3 linked regions of the Caenorhabditis elegans genome follow. The protein of the gene in region 1 purifies or fractionates together with the protein of each later gene. This does not show direct contact. Each region holds a gene or a part of one and is shown on either strand. Other genes may lie near its edges.

What was found. Proteins that work in one complex are often made in the same cells at the same time.
Region 2: the proteins of vdac-1 (region 1) and nduf-5 fractionate together in Caenorhabditis elegans (co-fractionation; one large-scale study listed by BioGRID). This does not show direct contact.
Region 3: the proteins of vdac-1 (region 1) and ucr-2.2 fractionate together in Caenorhabditis elegans (co-fractionation; one large-scale study listed by BioGRID). This does not show direct contact.

Annotation. Positions count from the first base shown.
Region 1 is NC_003282.8:7,505,921-7,509,811, forward strand, and holds vdac-1 (putative voltage-dependent anion-selective channel), read right to left. Parts: upstream 1,972-3,891; 5' UTR 1,969-1,971; coding exon 1,905-1,968; intron 1,832-1,904; coding exon 1,691-1,831; intron 1,524-1,690; coding exon 1,354-1,523; intron 1,197-1,353; coding exon 939-1,196; intron 893-938; coding exon 674-892; 3' UTR 501-673; downstream 1-500. Other genes in the region: Putative sodium-dependent excitatory amino acid transporter glt-6, read left to right, coding at 1-45, 90-368; R05G6.5 (Uroporphyrinogen-III synthase), read left to right, coding at 2,663-2,806, 2,854-3,041, 3,219-3,298, 3,350-3,465, 3,517-3,555; plc-4 (Phosphoinositide phospholipase C), read right to left, coding at 3,758-3,891. UniProt on the Caenorhabditis elegans protein: Forms a channel through the cell membrane that allows diffusion of small hydrophilic molecules. Plays a role in maintaining mitochondrial morphology.
Region 2 is NC_003279.8:3,000,587-3,004,943, forward strand, and holds nduf-5 (NADH dehydrogenase [ubiquinone] iron-sulfur protein 5), read right to left. Parts: upstream 2,262-4,357; 5' UTR 2,252-2,261; coding exon 2,018-2,251; intron 1,010-2,017; coding exon 878-1,009; 3' UTR 774-877; downstream 1-773. Other genes in the region: dnj-28 (J domain-containing protein), read left to right, coding at 229-680; Y54E10BL.3 (CcoQ/FixQ family Cbb3-type cytochrome c oxidase assembly chaperone), read left to right, coding at 3,599-3,626, 3,677-3,760.
Region 3 is NC_003284.9:15,171,967-15,178,918, reverse strand, and holds ucr-2.2 (Peptidase M16 N-terminal domain-containing protein), read right to left. Parts: upstream 5,016-6,952; 5' UTR 5,015-5,015; coding exon 4,880-5,014; intron 4,831-4,879; coding exon 4,684-4,830; intron 4,422-4,683; coding exon 4,210-4,421; intron 4,157-4,209; coding exon 4,075-4,156; intron 4,028-4,074; coding exon 3,893-4,027; intron 3,888-3,892; exon of another isoform or gene 3,813-3,887; coding exon of another isoform or gene 3,328-3,812; intron 3,258-3,327; coding exon of another isoform or gene 2,456-3,257; exon of another isoform or gene 2,438-2,455; intron 2,067-2,437; coding exon 1,927-2,066; intron 1,876-1,926; coding exon 1,685-1,875; intron 1,169-1,684; coding exon 942-1,168; 3' UTR 774-941; downstream 1-773. Other genes in the region: pkhm-2 (PH domain-containing protein), read left to right, coding at 1-143, 190-252; col-41 (Nematode cuticle collagen N-terminal domain-containing protein), read left to right, coding at 2,456-3,257, 3,328-3,812; ocr-3 (Ion transport domain-containing protein), read right to left, coding at 5,346-5,459, 6,204-6,335, 6,392-6,508, 6,552-6,678, 6,728-6,818, 6,860-6,952.

The DNA of each region.
Region 1 (3,891 bases):
CTAGGGGATGCGTTTGCTGCTTCAATGGTTCAGCATTTATTGCAGGTTTGATAGAAAACTCGAACTTGGAGACAATTGTATATTTTAAGAAAAAGCTGGATCAAGCAGACGCTCGTCACGATTATAAGACTGAACTGAAAGGAGAAATTGAACTATTGAAGTCAGCTGCCACCAGTAGAAGACCATCATTCACAATGTCAGAAGCTTCTAAGGAGCTCTTCTTGACACACGCGAACACAGCTGGAAACTCAAGAATTGGATCACGAATTGGCTCTCGTCGTCCTTCATCCACCAACTTGCATCTTTCCTGGCGTAATAATAACATTGAACCACCATACACACCTCTGCCCAACGATGAAAACGTGTAGTTCCATGATCAATATTTACATTTTTTGTCCATGTCACTTTTCCATTCCAAAACAGAAAACGGTTATTCTCTCCTCTTTCCGCGAGAACCCATGGATTGTTTTGTACATATCATTTTTACTATTTTAAGCCACTGATGAAACTCAATAATTTATGTTTGTAAAATTTAGCAGAAAAGTAAATAGCGCATGACATTTCTTTTTTTTCGAAGTTTAGAGAACATAAATCGACATTGAAAAATCAACGGTTGAGGACTAAAAGAATTTTAAGAACGCTATTGATGGGAGAATGGAAGTGATCGGAAGATCTAGTTGGATGGATCGAATTCGAGTCCAAGTCCGAACTTGTGAGCATCATTGGCAGCAAGGTTGAATTGAGTGGAAAGTGTCAGCTTAAGAGCTGGAGACAAGGAGTGTGTGGCAGCAACGGCAACTTGGGAAGAGCTGTTGACCTTGGCGCGGACAGTAAGGTCACGGCTTGGAGCATACTTGGTGGCGAGAGCGTAGTCAGCTCCGTTTCCACCAACCTGAAAATTCACTTTAGTTTTGGTTCTAGGATTTTAAAAAGTTTACCTTCCATCCGAGTTGAGTTCCAACCTCGACGTTGGAGGCAACCTTGTGGTAAAGGGAAGCTCCGAAGTCGGTTGAGTTAATAACGAAAGAGTGGAGGGTGTATTGTGGAGTGGAGTGTCCGAAAGCCAAAGAAGTGGCTGCCAACTTATTCGATGAAGAATCGAAGGTGGCGGCAGCTCCGATGAGCCATCCGTCACGGGAGAAGACTCCGGCAGCGTTGATAACTGGAGCAGAGGTGACTCCAACATCAGCGGTAACCTGTAAATGGCTAATTTGTTTCATTTCACAAAGATGGATTTTTGAAATCTCTATTTCTACATTCAGAAAATCGAACCCTGAAACAATCATGCTTCCAGTCAAGCTTGAGACGAGCTTCGCCAATCTTATCACCCAAAATATGTACAAGACTACTCACTCTAGCAGTTGGGAGAGCCCAGTCGAGCTTCACTTTTCCGCTTCTCTTTCCGGCGTGTGGGGCATAAAGAGAATCGAGAGTGACCTTGAGTCCACGTCCGAATTGCTCATTAACTTCGATAACAGTTCCGAGCTGGTTCTCGGTGTTCCATTTCTCGGTCAAAGTGATTCCTGAAAACGAAACAACATGATTGATATCTCTCACACAATATGTTGTATTTTTGTTGAGCGGTCGCTAGACGTCACGTGGTGTTTTAGAGTACATACAATTGCATCACCTGCGTCACGAGGTTGTCCCCATCTAGCGGGTAGACAATAAGATGTTCAGACGAGCTTACCGTATTGTGGGATCTTGTACTTGACATCGAGATTTCCTCCAAGCTTTCCGGATCCGATATTGTGAGAAGCGGCTGATTTGAACTCAACCTCCTTGTTGTCTCCAGCTCTAGTGGTGGAGTCGATCTTGAGGAATCCAAAGTCTGGAAAAAAATTAATCAGGCGAATAAATGACCTAACACTATTCCTCTCTACAAAGATAAAATTGAAACTTACTGTATCCTTTGTTGAAGAGGTCCTTGGCGGACTTTCCAAGATCAGCGAAGGTTGGTGGGGCCATTTTCTAAACACAAAATATTTTTTGAAACATGCATTCTAGAGTTACACGAGAGAAGGAAAATAGGAAATTTTCGAAAAATGAAGGCTTTGAAAATGTTTGCATTGAGCAGTGCATACGAGAAAAACGGAAAGAAAGAGATAAACCAACTCAATGGCAGCAGTAGGAAGTCGATAAACAATGCGCCAGAAAACACAACATCGCCAAAAAATATATTCAGGGTTTCAGTTAAATGATTTACAATTATCTTATCGGGAAATTCAGAAGCAAACATTTGTAACATAAAACTCCGACGGTATCGAAAACATTGAATGCGATAGAGAAAGGACAGATCACGCCACAACAGCAAATTGAGAGTTCAAAGGCAAGCACATTGGCGCGGCGACCGCCCGTCTCGAGACATAGGACGAAAATGAGAGGCACAGAGACTGGTTACTGCAGCGCGACCGCTCCGCTTCCAAAAGTACTGGATTATTTTGGCAGTTTTTCAAAATTGAATGATGCACTGAGAAGAAAAGATTTGATGCAATGAAAGAAATATTGACTAACGAAACAAAATGAAATTAGCAAGAAATCTCAAATTTAGCGTTAAACCAGGAAATGGTACCGGAAATTGAGCACAAATCCAAATAGTTTCCGCATCACCTGGTTCAGCGAATTCAGTTCACTTCTGTCACTTGCATCTAACCTATTCGAAATGTACCGCTCGGAAGTCTCTAAGCCACAACTGGAAAATCCAAACCTAGTCGATAGAATAATTGTAATTATTCTGCCGAACTATTTCTATGAATATGAATCCGTACTGAAGCACATAACAAAAGAAAACTTCGGGATTATAGAGGTAAGTTGTATATATGAAAATTAAAGAAGAAGAAACTGATTATTTAGAAAACTGTGAAGCATTTTAAAACTGAAGAAGTCATGGAGTGGAAAAGTGCTGATCTTGAATCCCAAGATATCTGGAACTTATCAGACAGGCTAATAGACGGACCATGCATGTTACTATTGTGTCAACGAGCGAATGCTTTTATTGAGATGAAAGAAGTGGCCAAATATCACAATGTGATCGCTAAGAGGTGAGCAAAGACCAACAAACATCCGAAAATACTGAAAAACAATGGAAGAAAAACATTGCGCACAGTTGAAAATAACCGTTACCGTAGTCTCGTTTCGGTACGAAACCTTCACACTTTTGGAGGTTTTTCAAAAAATCTATCCGAAGAGTTTTAAAACTTCACAAGCGTTTAATTCAGAATGAGTTCAAGTGATGGAATATATTATTCAAAAACGACAATTGCCGCCTATCACGATATAATTTTCTTTTTCCCCAAGTGTAAGATTCCATAAAGTTAGAATTTTGACTCTCCCATAAAAATATATTCAGACATTGACGAAAGAGCAATGCTGAAACATGCCAAGGATTATCTCTCAGTAGAAGTATGGCCGAAACTGAGCCAGGGACTGGCTCGCGTAGCAGTTGAGAGACCGGATAATCCAATTGTTTGTTTTCGAATACACCATTTAGTAACATGATTTTTTTGACTCTTTCAGAAATGGCTCGCAGATTATCTACACCAACTACGCCAATAAGTTTATGTTTCTAAAAAATAATATAGTGTAAATACCCATAAACCAATAAAACAATAAATTTTTTAAAAATATGCATTAAAAATTAACTACAAAACTATGCGAAAGAAAGGGCAGTAGAACATATATTACATGTAATCAGATAACACACAGGTAGTGATAAAAACGGCTTTGGTCTCAAAAATATGTTTAAAAAGCAGGAGAATTAGTACTCTTCCTCCATTGCAATTCGTACAAAAAGAGATGCAGATGGGTCCAGAGTATGTTGATATCCGGTATTTAGTTGAATTTGCGAGAAACCTGTACGAAGACTCATAACAGGAATTGAGAATTCTCCAA
Region 2 (4,357 bases), on another chromosome or scaffold:
AAAATAAGCTCCGCCTATTTTTCTGTGCGGCGCAGGTTTTCGCAAGCCTCCGCACGCTATTTCTTCGTTTTAACAGAAAATTTTGACGAAATTCAGAATTTCTCATTGAAAAAAATCAATAAAAAGGAGGAAAAACCGTGCCGCAGGATTGCAAAAATAAGCCCCGCCTCTTTTTCTGTGCGGCGCTGCTTTTCACGGATTTATCGATCATCAAAATCTAATTTCCAGCAATCGCTGACTACGAAAAAGCCGAAGAATGGGATTCATCAAACGACGCCGTCCGAACTGGAAAAGATCAAGCAAAGCGTGCAAAGGAACTCGTCGGAAAACGAGATTACTACAAAATTCTCGGAGTCCGCCGGAACGCCAATAAACGAGAAATCACAAAAGCCTATCGAAAAATGGCTCAAAAATGGCATCCGGACAACTTTCAGGATGAGAAGGAGAAGAAGAAAGCTGAGAAGAAGTTTATCGATATTGCCGCGGCGAAGGAAGTTTTGAGCAATGAGGAGAAGCGGCGAGCTTTCGATAATGGACAAGATCCACTGGATTCGGAAGCAGGGAGGGGTGGAGGTGGAGGTGGAGGATCACACGGATTTCATAATTTCCACGGATTTAATCCATTCGGCGGTGGTGGTGGTGGCGGCCGTGGTGGCGGCGACTTTTTCTTCCATTTTTAATTTCATATTTCATTATAGATATAGATATTATTGTGTCATTGGATGTGTTACCCGGACTATTATTGATCTCTTAACTTGCTTCTTTTTTTTTTTATTATAAATCTTTTTATGTACTTAGAAAAGATTAAAAAGAAAAAAGAAATGAAAACTACAAAAAATAAGGCGATTTCTCTCGAAACTAAAGGCACTTCAAGTATCTAGTTGATACGATTCCACTGGAAGTGATCAGTCTTGAATTGTCCCGGTTCTGGATGATTGTCGACGTATGGCTTCGCGATTTTTCCGTCGAGGAACAGCTTGCAGCGTTGTTCACGGATGGCGTCAGCTCTCTGGAAAATTGTTTTTCGATTATTTTGGAATTTCATGTGATGTTTTTTAAAGGCGCACGGGTTTATTCAGATGGGTCTCGATGCGCAGAAAAAAGATTATGGTAGTTTTTTCTCTTTCAGGGCAAAAAAACTGGAGAACACACATTTAAATTTTTAGGAAAATCGAAAACCAAAAATATTCGATTTTATCAACAAAAAAAATCCAAAAGTTAAAAAACCAAATTTTTCAGAGTTTTCGATTTTTCTTTTCTTTAGAAATAGGAGAAAAATCGGAAAAATTGCATGAAAGAAGACGAGAAAATAAACTCAAAAATCAGAAAAATGAAGGAACATTTTTTTAAATTAGAATTTTAGAAATTTCCGGAAAATGAACGAATTTCGTAATGAAACTGCTCAAAAATTTTTAAAAAATTTTTATGGCGGTTCAAAATTTTGAAAAATAACACTGATTTTAGCTAAAATCACGAATTTTTCCCATTTTTCCGTGTCACATCTGTCCGTAGTTGGCTTTTTTGGAATTATCGTCCTTTATTACATATATTGGTAGTTTATCTCATTTAATTTCGTCGATTAAAGTACATTTAAAGCCGATAGGTAACCAAAAATCATCGAAATTGGTTACCTATCGGCTTTAAATGTTATTTGATCCACGAAATTAAATGAGATTAATTACCAATATATGTAATAAAGGACGATAATTCCAAAAAAAGCCAACTTCGAACAGATGTGACACGGAAAAATGGGCAAAATTCGAGATTTTAGCCAAAATCAGTGTAATTTTTTCAAAAGTTTGAACCGCCATAAAAAATTTTTGGAAATTTTTTGAAAAGTTTCATTACGAAATTCGTTCATTTGAGAACATTTTGGGTCTATACGTTCAAAATCGTCCGAACCGTTAGTCCTCCGTTAAAAGAATAAATTCAAGGGATCAAATTTATTTGGTTTTCACTAATTTTTTGTTTTTTAGTCCAATTTTTTTTCGCGACAGTTCTGTTCCGGATATCGAACCTTCTTCTGTTTATCCCCAGTGACACACTCCTGGAAGTCACGATGCTCGAGATCACAATACTTGCGTCCCATCTTTGCTCCGTAAGCCTCCATACAACGGTAGAATTGAGATTCAAAGAATCCGCAGATACGTCCCTGTTGGGAGAGTGGAACCGAAAGAGTATCGGTTATTGGAGCCTTTACGATTGGTGACAATGATGTGAAGTTCTCCGGATTACGGTTACCAGTTGCCATTGCGGATGTTCTGGAATTTTGGAATTTTATTATGAGTTGAGAAGCAAAATATCGATTTTTCGGTTTTTTTTTCAGAGATAATCAGAAAATGTTTTAGAAAAAAAAACTAAAATTTTAAAATCTGTGTTAATTTTTTTATGTCGATGAGGAAATGCATAAATAGGAAAAAAAACATTTTTCTCAAAAAAAAAGAAGAAAAATAGCTAAAATTTATAGACATGTTTCGAAAAAAAAAAATAATTTGTCTAAGTATCGGAAAATCGAAAAAAGAAACACACTAATATTACGGAAACGCAAAATTCTGAGTGACCCGCAAAATATCTCGTAGCGAAAACTACAGTAATTCTTTAAATGAATACGGTAGCGTCGATTTACGGGATATCGATTTTTTTTAAAGAAAATTAATTTTAATATTCAATCGTTAAATTAATTAATTTCAAAAATCGAGATCCCGTAAATCGACACAACCGCTACAGTAGTTATTTAAAGAATTACTGTAGTTTTCGCTACGAGATATTTTGCGCGTCAAATGTGTTGTGCAATACGCATTTTTAGAATTGTGTTCCCGTAATAATTTCAGAATTACCCAAAAAATCCTAAAATTAAATACTGTTTGGATAAAAAGGCACGCTACAAGATCAAAAAAGCCATGAAATGTAATTTTTGTTGAATAAATTTCGAAAAAATGCCTCGAGAGAAGAAAAATCATGAATAATCTCAAACTATCACGCAAAAAAAAGGAAAAATGGTGAAAAATCCCAGATTTTGGAAAAATTTCAAAAAAAAATTCCCAAAAAACTAGATAAAACCAATAAAATATTCTTCTAGAAAATTGCTTTTTTTTCAAAAATTCAACAAAAATTTTTTTTTTGCAAAACCTATTCGCAATTTAAGCTATTTTTCCTATTTTCGGTGGATCCCAGCAAAATTTCAGCAAAATTCCATCCATCTACTAATTTTTCCGCAAAAAATCGCCAAATTTTCCAAATCTTTGTATTCAAAAATTGTTGAAAGTGGATTCCAAGTTCAAAAAAATTTCGTCAATTTATTTTTTTTATTCATACTAACTTTTCTTCAGGAAAATCGGCTAATTTTCCGAATCTTTGCTACTAAAAAATTGTTGAAAATCCACAAAAGTCTTTTCCTCTTTCTCCCAGTTTATTCATTTTATTATCCGAGCTTCTCCCCCCCCCCCCTCTCTCGTCTTTTTCACATCTTTTTCGTAACGGAGGTCTCCTTTTCCGTTTTCTTCAACGCTTTTCGCAGCACACAAAAATCGATATCAAGCGCAGTAGTGTGTGCTCTTTCTCTCTCGGAGCAAGAAGGCAACTTGGGGCTCTGTCAAACATGGACGCCGTCTATAATCTCGTTGAATGTGAGTTAAATATATTAAATTAATTTCAACCGATTTTCATGAATTTTCAGCTGTTCACGTTTTTATTCCTGTCGTCGCGCTTCTCGTCTTTCTCACAGTTATTTATATTAATTCGAAAACTCCTGATGAGCCGGGTGAGTCAGCTTTTTGAATTTTGTGAGAAAAATATCGATTGACCCAGGCGTGTGCGGAAATTGCCGGAATTTTTCATTTTCGGCAAATTGCCTATTTGCCGGATATCGATATGACGGAAATTTGTAGAGCGATTTTTTTAAAACGGAAACACTCCAAATTGTGCCTTTTTAAAATTTTTTCCCATTTTTCGTTAGATATTTTCATAGAATTTTTAATTTTTTAAAATAGATGTAAGAACATTCATTGGATGCCTTTTTTAAAAATTTCTTTGCCTATTTAAATTGAAATTCTTCAAAAGTTCCAAAAAAATGTGCAAGGCCACAATTTGCCGGAAATTGTCGATTCCGGCAATTTGCCGATTTGCCGGAAAAATAATTTTTGGCCATCTTTTGCCAATTCCTTCTGTATTTAACATTAAAAATACTCGATATATATCTTTTTTTTTTAGATTTTCAGGTAAAAATCGATGATGTTTTTTTTTCTATGAGAATTTTTAGTTAGTTAAAAAATTTTCGATTTCCGGAAATTGATTTTTCGAGAAATATGTCAAAGTTTTGGTCATTTTTTTTTAAAATAAAATTATGTTAGATTTTTCT
Region 3 (6,952 bases), on another chromosome or scaffold:
CGCCTGCGCTTTGCTTGGTCACCAAAGACGATACCATTCATTACTTCTTCGTCCGATTCGATAAGGAGCTGGAACGGCTTGCGTCTGCTGTTCAAAGCAGTTACGGTGTCCGTTGGGCAAAGCTTGATGATGATTTGATTAAGGTATGTTAATAGAGAAACTTAGTAACTAATTAAATATAATTTCTAGACACCGATTGGAAAAATCATCCATAACACTTGCTGCTCCGCCAACACGCTGTGGCCAGTCTAATTCGCATCTCCATTTCTTTACTCATCAAGAGTTAACTCCATGATAATCGCTACCTGGTCCGGGTACCCATTGTACTTTTGTACTTTTTTTGTCCCAATTTTCCCCATACACATTCATTTCCATTTCAGCCTTAACACTTATAAAGTAGCTCAGTAGCTCATGTCATCTCCTCTTCCCACCTTCAACTCTGTTCCTTCGAACTTGTCTCATTTAATTGTAGTCTATCGCGGGCCCATTTGTGCAGAGCCCCCGGTGCTTCTGTTCGTCACGGCTAATAACTGTTAATTTCCCAGATTTCTTTCAACCCACCTTTTTGTTGTTGTTATCCTGCACATTTCAATGCTCACACCCCAAACTAGATTATACGGAATTTCATGTTTTTACACGTTTAAGTTGTCATTCTTTCCCGCTTCTCCCGAACGTTTCAAAGCCTAACTCTCACATTTACAATTCACTTATTCACCCTCGGTATATGTATAAGCTTATTCGAGCTTACTTTTTTTTTCTGTCTGTTTTTGATTACGTGAATAATTTCTTTATTTTTTTGTTCATTGAACAAACAAATTTCAAAGTCTAGTACCTTTTATTGACAGCAAAAAAATAGTCATATGAGACGGAAAACAAATTGACCAAAAAATAACAAAATGCGTTCGTCTACTGGAGTAAAATCATTTAATTTAACTAGATGCTCACAGAGTATCAACATATGGGACTTCTGAGACATTTCCATAACTGGCCAACGACAACTTGGTAGTCAATTTCTTGGCGGCAACTTCAACATCACTAGCCGACACATTTGGAATCTGTTGAATGTAATTGTCTTGGGACTGGAAGAGTTGGGAGGCTCTCTCGATGGCAAAGTTGTCGGAATGAGCAGAGGCTCTCAAGGCGTTGTTGAAGGCCTGCTTCTTGACGGCTGAAAGTTGAAATTAATACAAAAACCGATTAAGTCGGTAACGTCACAGTAGTTTGAAATTACCATCAACCTAAAAATCTGCAATTAGTTTTGTGCTAGAAATATTCCATTTCGCTTAAATTTTACGACAAGGTTAGCATAGTTTAGCTTTAGTCTAGTTTAGTTAAGTTCAACTCTACCACAAGAACACAATTTATATTTTGGGTTTTCAGTATAGGCCTCTAAAAATCATATTTATACAAAAGCCCTTCTCTAAGGCGGCTCAAATTGTAAATCTACATACAAAAATGTCAAGTATTAGGTCGTGAAAAAAGTTTTCTCCGAAAATTTTGAAAGTTTTGCCCCGGAAAGTTCTGCAGCTTTCTGGACTATTTTATTATAGAATGTTGTAGAACATCCTAGAAGCATATCTTTATTTAATTTTTATTTTTTTTTATAATTTCAGAAATATCGATGTACAAAAATAGTGTGATCCCATTTTATCAAATTTATACTCTAAAAAACAAAATTTCTTACCTTCAATATCAGCGACCTTCAAAGACTTCAATGCTCCAACTACATTCGAAACAGCTTGGTTAGCCTGGCTTCCTTCAACGACAAGGTATACTCCGGCCAGTCCACTATCCGCATGAACAGCTTGGAATGCGCTGGCCGATCCATTCTGTCCGACGGCTTTTGCGATGACTCCAGTGGTTCCGGTGTTGAATCTGAAATTAATCATTTCAAGTGTGAACATTGTAATTCCTTTTTTGTATTACTTGACTGGTGATGAATTTCCAAGTGCGGTGAGGAGAACTGCTTGGGTGGCCAATGCTTTCGTGTTGTTTCCGGCAGCTCCTTCTCCAGCGACAATCACATGCGCGTACTTCGAATCGGCATCTCTGCGCACTTCTCCTCCCTAGGTGTCAGAAAAGGTGAGAAATGATAGTATAGATAACATAAACAGTGGAGTGGATAATGAAATTGAAATTTGCAAAGTTTTTCTGTTCTATTTCCAAATCCAAAATGAGTGATTGCATTTTTTCGGGGAAAGAAACAATAGTAGCAAGTTTTTTCCTCTTCATGCCAAAGGTATACTGAATATCCGTCGCATTGCGATATCTGTCATACGACTAGGACCGGTAATTTTTTATCGGCGCGTTCTTCCCGATCTGTTGCGTGTCTAAGTTTCTAAGTTTTCCCAGCCTCCCCCTTGCCCTTGCAAGTTCTTGCCGGCTTTCGAGTTTTTTCGGAGAAAAATGTATAAAAAAGTGTTCACCAAAGCAATACACAACATTGTTCTCAACGATGTCTACTCTTGGCTATATTGGGGCAGGCGTCTGCTTGCTCGGAGTTTTCTCCGCTCTTTGCTCAATTGGACATATTGTTCAAGATATTAACAACCTTCGTTCCGAAGTTGAAGGACGCGTTGATGAGTTCAAAGTTCTTGCCGATGATACTTGGGATCGTCTCCTGATTCTTCAATCTCCAACAGGAGAATCTGCCAATCCAGTGCCATCCCTCCTCCGTAACAAGAGATTTGTGTACCCAGGAATGTGCAATTGCGACAGCAACTCTCAAGGATGCCCAGCAGGAGCACCAGGACCACCAGGAAACCCAGGAAAGCGTGGAGACGAAGGACATCCAGGAGATGAAGGAAGACGTGGAGCCAGTGGTATCTCTCTTGCAACCACTCACGATATTCCAGGAGGATGCATTAAATGCCCAGAGGGACCAGCTGGACCACCAGGGCCTGATGGAGACTCTGGACCAGAAGGATTCCCAGGACTTCAAGGGCAATCCGGACCATCCGGTGAAGATGGAGCCCCAGGACAGGAGGGAGCCCCAGGAGATCAAGGAGAACAAGGACCAAAGGGATACGATGGGACCGACGGACCAGACGGACAGCCAGGAACCACATACTTCCCAGGACAAGCTGGACAGCCAGGAGAGCCAGGATGGTTGGGAGAGCCAGGACTTCCAGGACAACATGGAGAGCCAGGAAAGGACGGAGAGGAGGGACCACAAGGAGCACCAGGAACTCCAGGAAACGCTGGTCACGACGCCTTCCCAGGAACCCCGGGACAAGCTGGAAAGCCAGGAGCTCCAGGTAAAATTTTTGTTGTTGTTACTAGGAATTTCTTGAACAAACAGTGATGAAACATTTTAAATTGTTTCAGGAAAAGATGCCAACTACTGCCCATGCCCACAAAGACAAGACGACAGAACCCCACCATCATCTGGAACATCCGCTCCACAGCCACCACCACGTGGATCCACTGCTGCTCCAGGAACTCGTGCTCCACCAGCAACTCGCGCTCCACCAGCAACTCGTGCTCCACCAGCAACCACCCGCGCTCCACCAGCAACAACTCGTCCAGCACCAGCTTCACAGCCACCAGTCAGAGAGCCAGAGACTCCAGATTCTGGATACCCATCCCCAGCTCCACAAGAGCCAGCTCATCCATCACCAAGCTACCCGTCTCCAAGCTATCCATCTCCAAGCTATCCATCCCCAAGCTACCCATCTCCGAGCTACCCATCCCCAAGCTATCCAGCTGAGCCAGCTTATTCCGTCCCACCACCAGCCAAGCCAGAGCAGCCATCAGGAGGATACGATGCTCCATCTCCACCACAAACTGGAAGCTACCAGAGACGTTGGTAGATGCGTGACACTTCTCATGACATTATTTATGACTTTGTTATCCAACTCCACTGAATAAATATTCGTTTTCAAGAACTCACCTTGTAAGCACTTGAAGATGGGGACGCAGCGTTTCCACTTCTGATTGGGGCGTGATTGTCTCCATAGAGAAGAAGGTCATCGTGAACAGCATTAGTGGCAAACAATACTCCGTTTCCTGTGACGAAGTGCTGCTCCTGAAATTTTAAAATTGAAAACTTGCAGATAAGAATAAGCAACTTACTGCAAATGAGGACAAAGTTGATGTGCAGATCGATCCAATTTTAGAGCATGGTGCATAGATTGAGTTTCCAAGTCCTCCATTTCTAAAAAAAAAAGTTTTGCTCAATGAATTCTCGAAAGCTTCTCAATGCCAAACCTGTAAGCGGCCTTGTGAATCTGGTCAACAACCAAGTCGTAAGCGGTTCTGTATCCGTTGTCAGCGCGCATAGTTGGCAGCACATCCTCGACTTCCCATGGCTTGAATCCTGGGTTACCAGCGACTTGTCCCAATACGGAAAGTCCGACGGAAGTGCTTTCGCGTGGAATTGTGAGGGAGACTCCGAAAAGATCGCGGGAGGTGAAGGATTTCTGAAACATCACCCTCGCTATGTCTGTGAGACTTTTTGGAATGCTCATGAAAATTTGATAATTTTGCTCCAAGTTAATTAGACCACATTTTTTCTGAAATTTTGATACAAAATACTTAATTCCAAATTTTTTTTCTAACAAATCTTTTCTAAAAAAAACTGTGAATGTATTATGCAATCTTTCTTCAAATTTACATTAAAATTCTTAGTTCTTTTCTAACGCCCAGTAGATTCAACTTTATCGATTTTTTTTTCTTGCTCACCAGAACTCCTCCGGTCTGTGACAACGTCCATACAACTGTGTTTCCAAAGTATTCCTGGGTATCTCTGCCGACGAAATTTCTGATGGTATGAGAGAGTCCGGCCTGGTTGGCTTTTTCGTAGCGACTTCCAGCTCTGAAGGCAAGAACCTAAAATTTGAAGATGATTTCGGATAGAAGAAACAAATTAAAAAAAAACCAAATGTGCAATTGGTTTGTGAGAGTCGATAGTTCCAACGGTCAATCCATTTCCAAGTTTGGCCACTTTTTCGACTGGTTTTGTCGTTGCTGCCTTATGGGCTCCGCGAACAGCTCCAATGTTGCGGCTAAGCATTCTGAAAAAACTAGATTTTCAAAGAAAAACTAGATAATTTTCAAAAATTGGGTAAAATTGAACAATACGGTTATAAAAAGTGCATAATTTATCAAATTTATTCATTTTTTGTTTAAATATTAAATGGAAAACTAAAAATAACTTCATTTTTCACAAAAATAGGTCCAAAAAATGAGAGACGCCTTTCCCGACTCATTGCTGACGCATCCCTTCTCGCTTGCGCGTTTCGTGCGCACATACGTCACTGGCCAAATGGCATGAAACGACGAGGACTATGAACACTTTATTACGGCAAAAATTAATAAACGAATAATTGAAATTTTTTTAGTTTTTACGAAGCATGTTTTGATAGAACATGTAAGACATGAATGGAACTGTTGTTTGACAAGCGGATTGACGGTTTTCCACGCGGTGGAATTAATTTGAGTTGTGGTTGCTGGCGGTCCTGAAAAAATATATTTGAAAACTAAAAAAATGATATAAATTTTGTGAGGTTTTTTTCGAGAGGAAAAGTTTGATTACAAATTTTTCAGTTTCAGCAAAAATTATGTTTTCCTATAATTTTTACAAAACTAACAAAATGTGCTTAAACCAAGTTAGGATATTTCTGAAGACATTAAAGGTGGTGTAGTCGAATTTTTTTATTGCTTTATTAGACTCAAAATTGTCTGGAAATGCCAAATTTCATAATGAAACTTCTTGAAAACTTCTTTTTAAAAAAAGTTATGACGGCTCACAAAATGGCCCAAAATTCGCTAGAATAACGGCGAGATTTTTAAATTATTTTAAACCAAATCTTGCCTTCCATCGACTTTAAAGTACCTAAATAAAGTTGAAAACACAAGATAATTACACGGTTTATTCAAAATTTGACGGTAATTTCAAAAAAAAATTGTTTCCAGCCGCTGCGACATAGGCAAGTCGGTCAAATTTCAAAATTTAACTAATTTTAGGTCACTTTTTCACGCGTCATAACTTTTTTTTGAGAAGTTTTCAAGAAGTTTCATTATGAAATTCGGTGTTTTCAGACAATTTCAAGTCTAATAAAGCATTAAAAATATTCGACTACACAACCTTTAATAGGATTCGGGAATCACCAAGTCTTGCCATCAAATTTGTACAATAAGAAATAAAGTTAATTTTTTTCAAATTCTAGTATAAATTAGGGAAAATTTATAGATTCACTTACATTCGACTTCACTTTCACAACAAATGCTCTTCTTCGTTTATCGGAACGTATTGGCCGAGTATAACGATAAAGTGATAGGAGGCGTTCCGAGGCTGAAGATGACTGCTCTAACATTAAAATTACTTGCGCCCACTGGAAAGTAAAATGGTGAAACTTGAAAATAAAATGTTGAAGTATAAAAAAATCACCTGACGCTTCCATTCTTTCTCAGTTTCGGCAATTTTCTCATAAGTACGAGTCATCATAGCAATTAGTAGATTCAGAAGCATAACAGTCACAATTAACTCGAAGAGGATGAAAAATACCTTAAAACGAGCTTGTAAGCCTGAAAAGAGCTTTTTTTGTAACCTTGGACTGTGGAGCAATGCTGCTTTTGCACTCGTTCAAGTTTTTATAAAGTGCACCAAATTCTCCCACACTCATAATAAACATTCTCATCACTGCCTCCCAACCATCTTCCATGATGTTTTCAAATCTAAAAAACATTAGGTAGTATAAAATCGTGATAAGAAATGTTTTCTTACTTCTCAATATATTCATCGTCTTCAGTATAGTTATGAGCTTTCTGATAAGCAATTTCTGCTCTCTCACAGGATTTGAATATAACAAAAAATGCTGGAAAATACTTCGACAATTGAAATTATGAAAACACTCACCTTGTGCAAATCCCATTAAGAAAAACGAGTATATAAGCAAAAATCGCAGCATATCTCTCACAATAATTTTGTACACCATCAACACAAATGGCC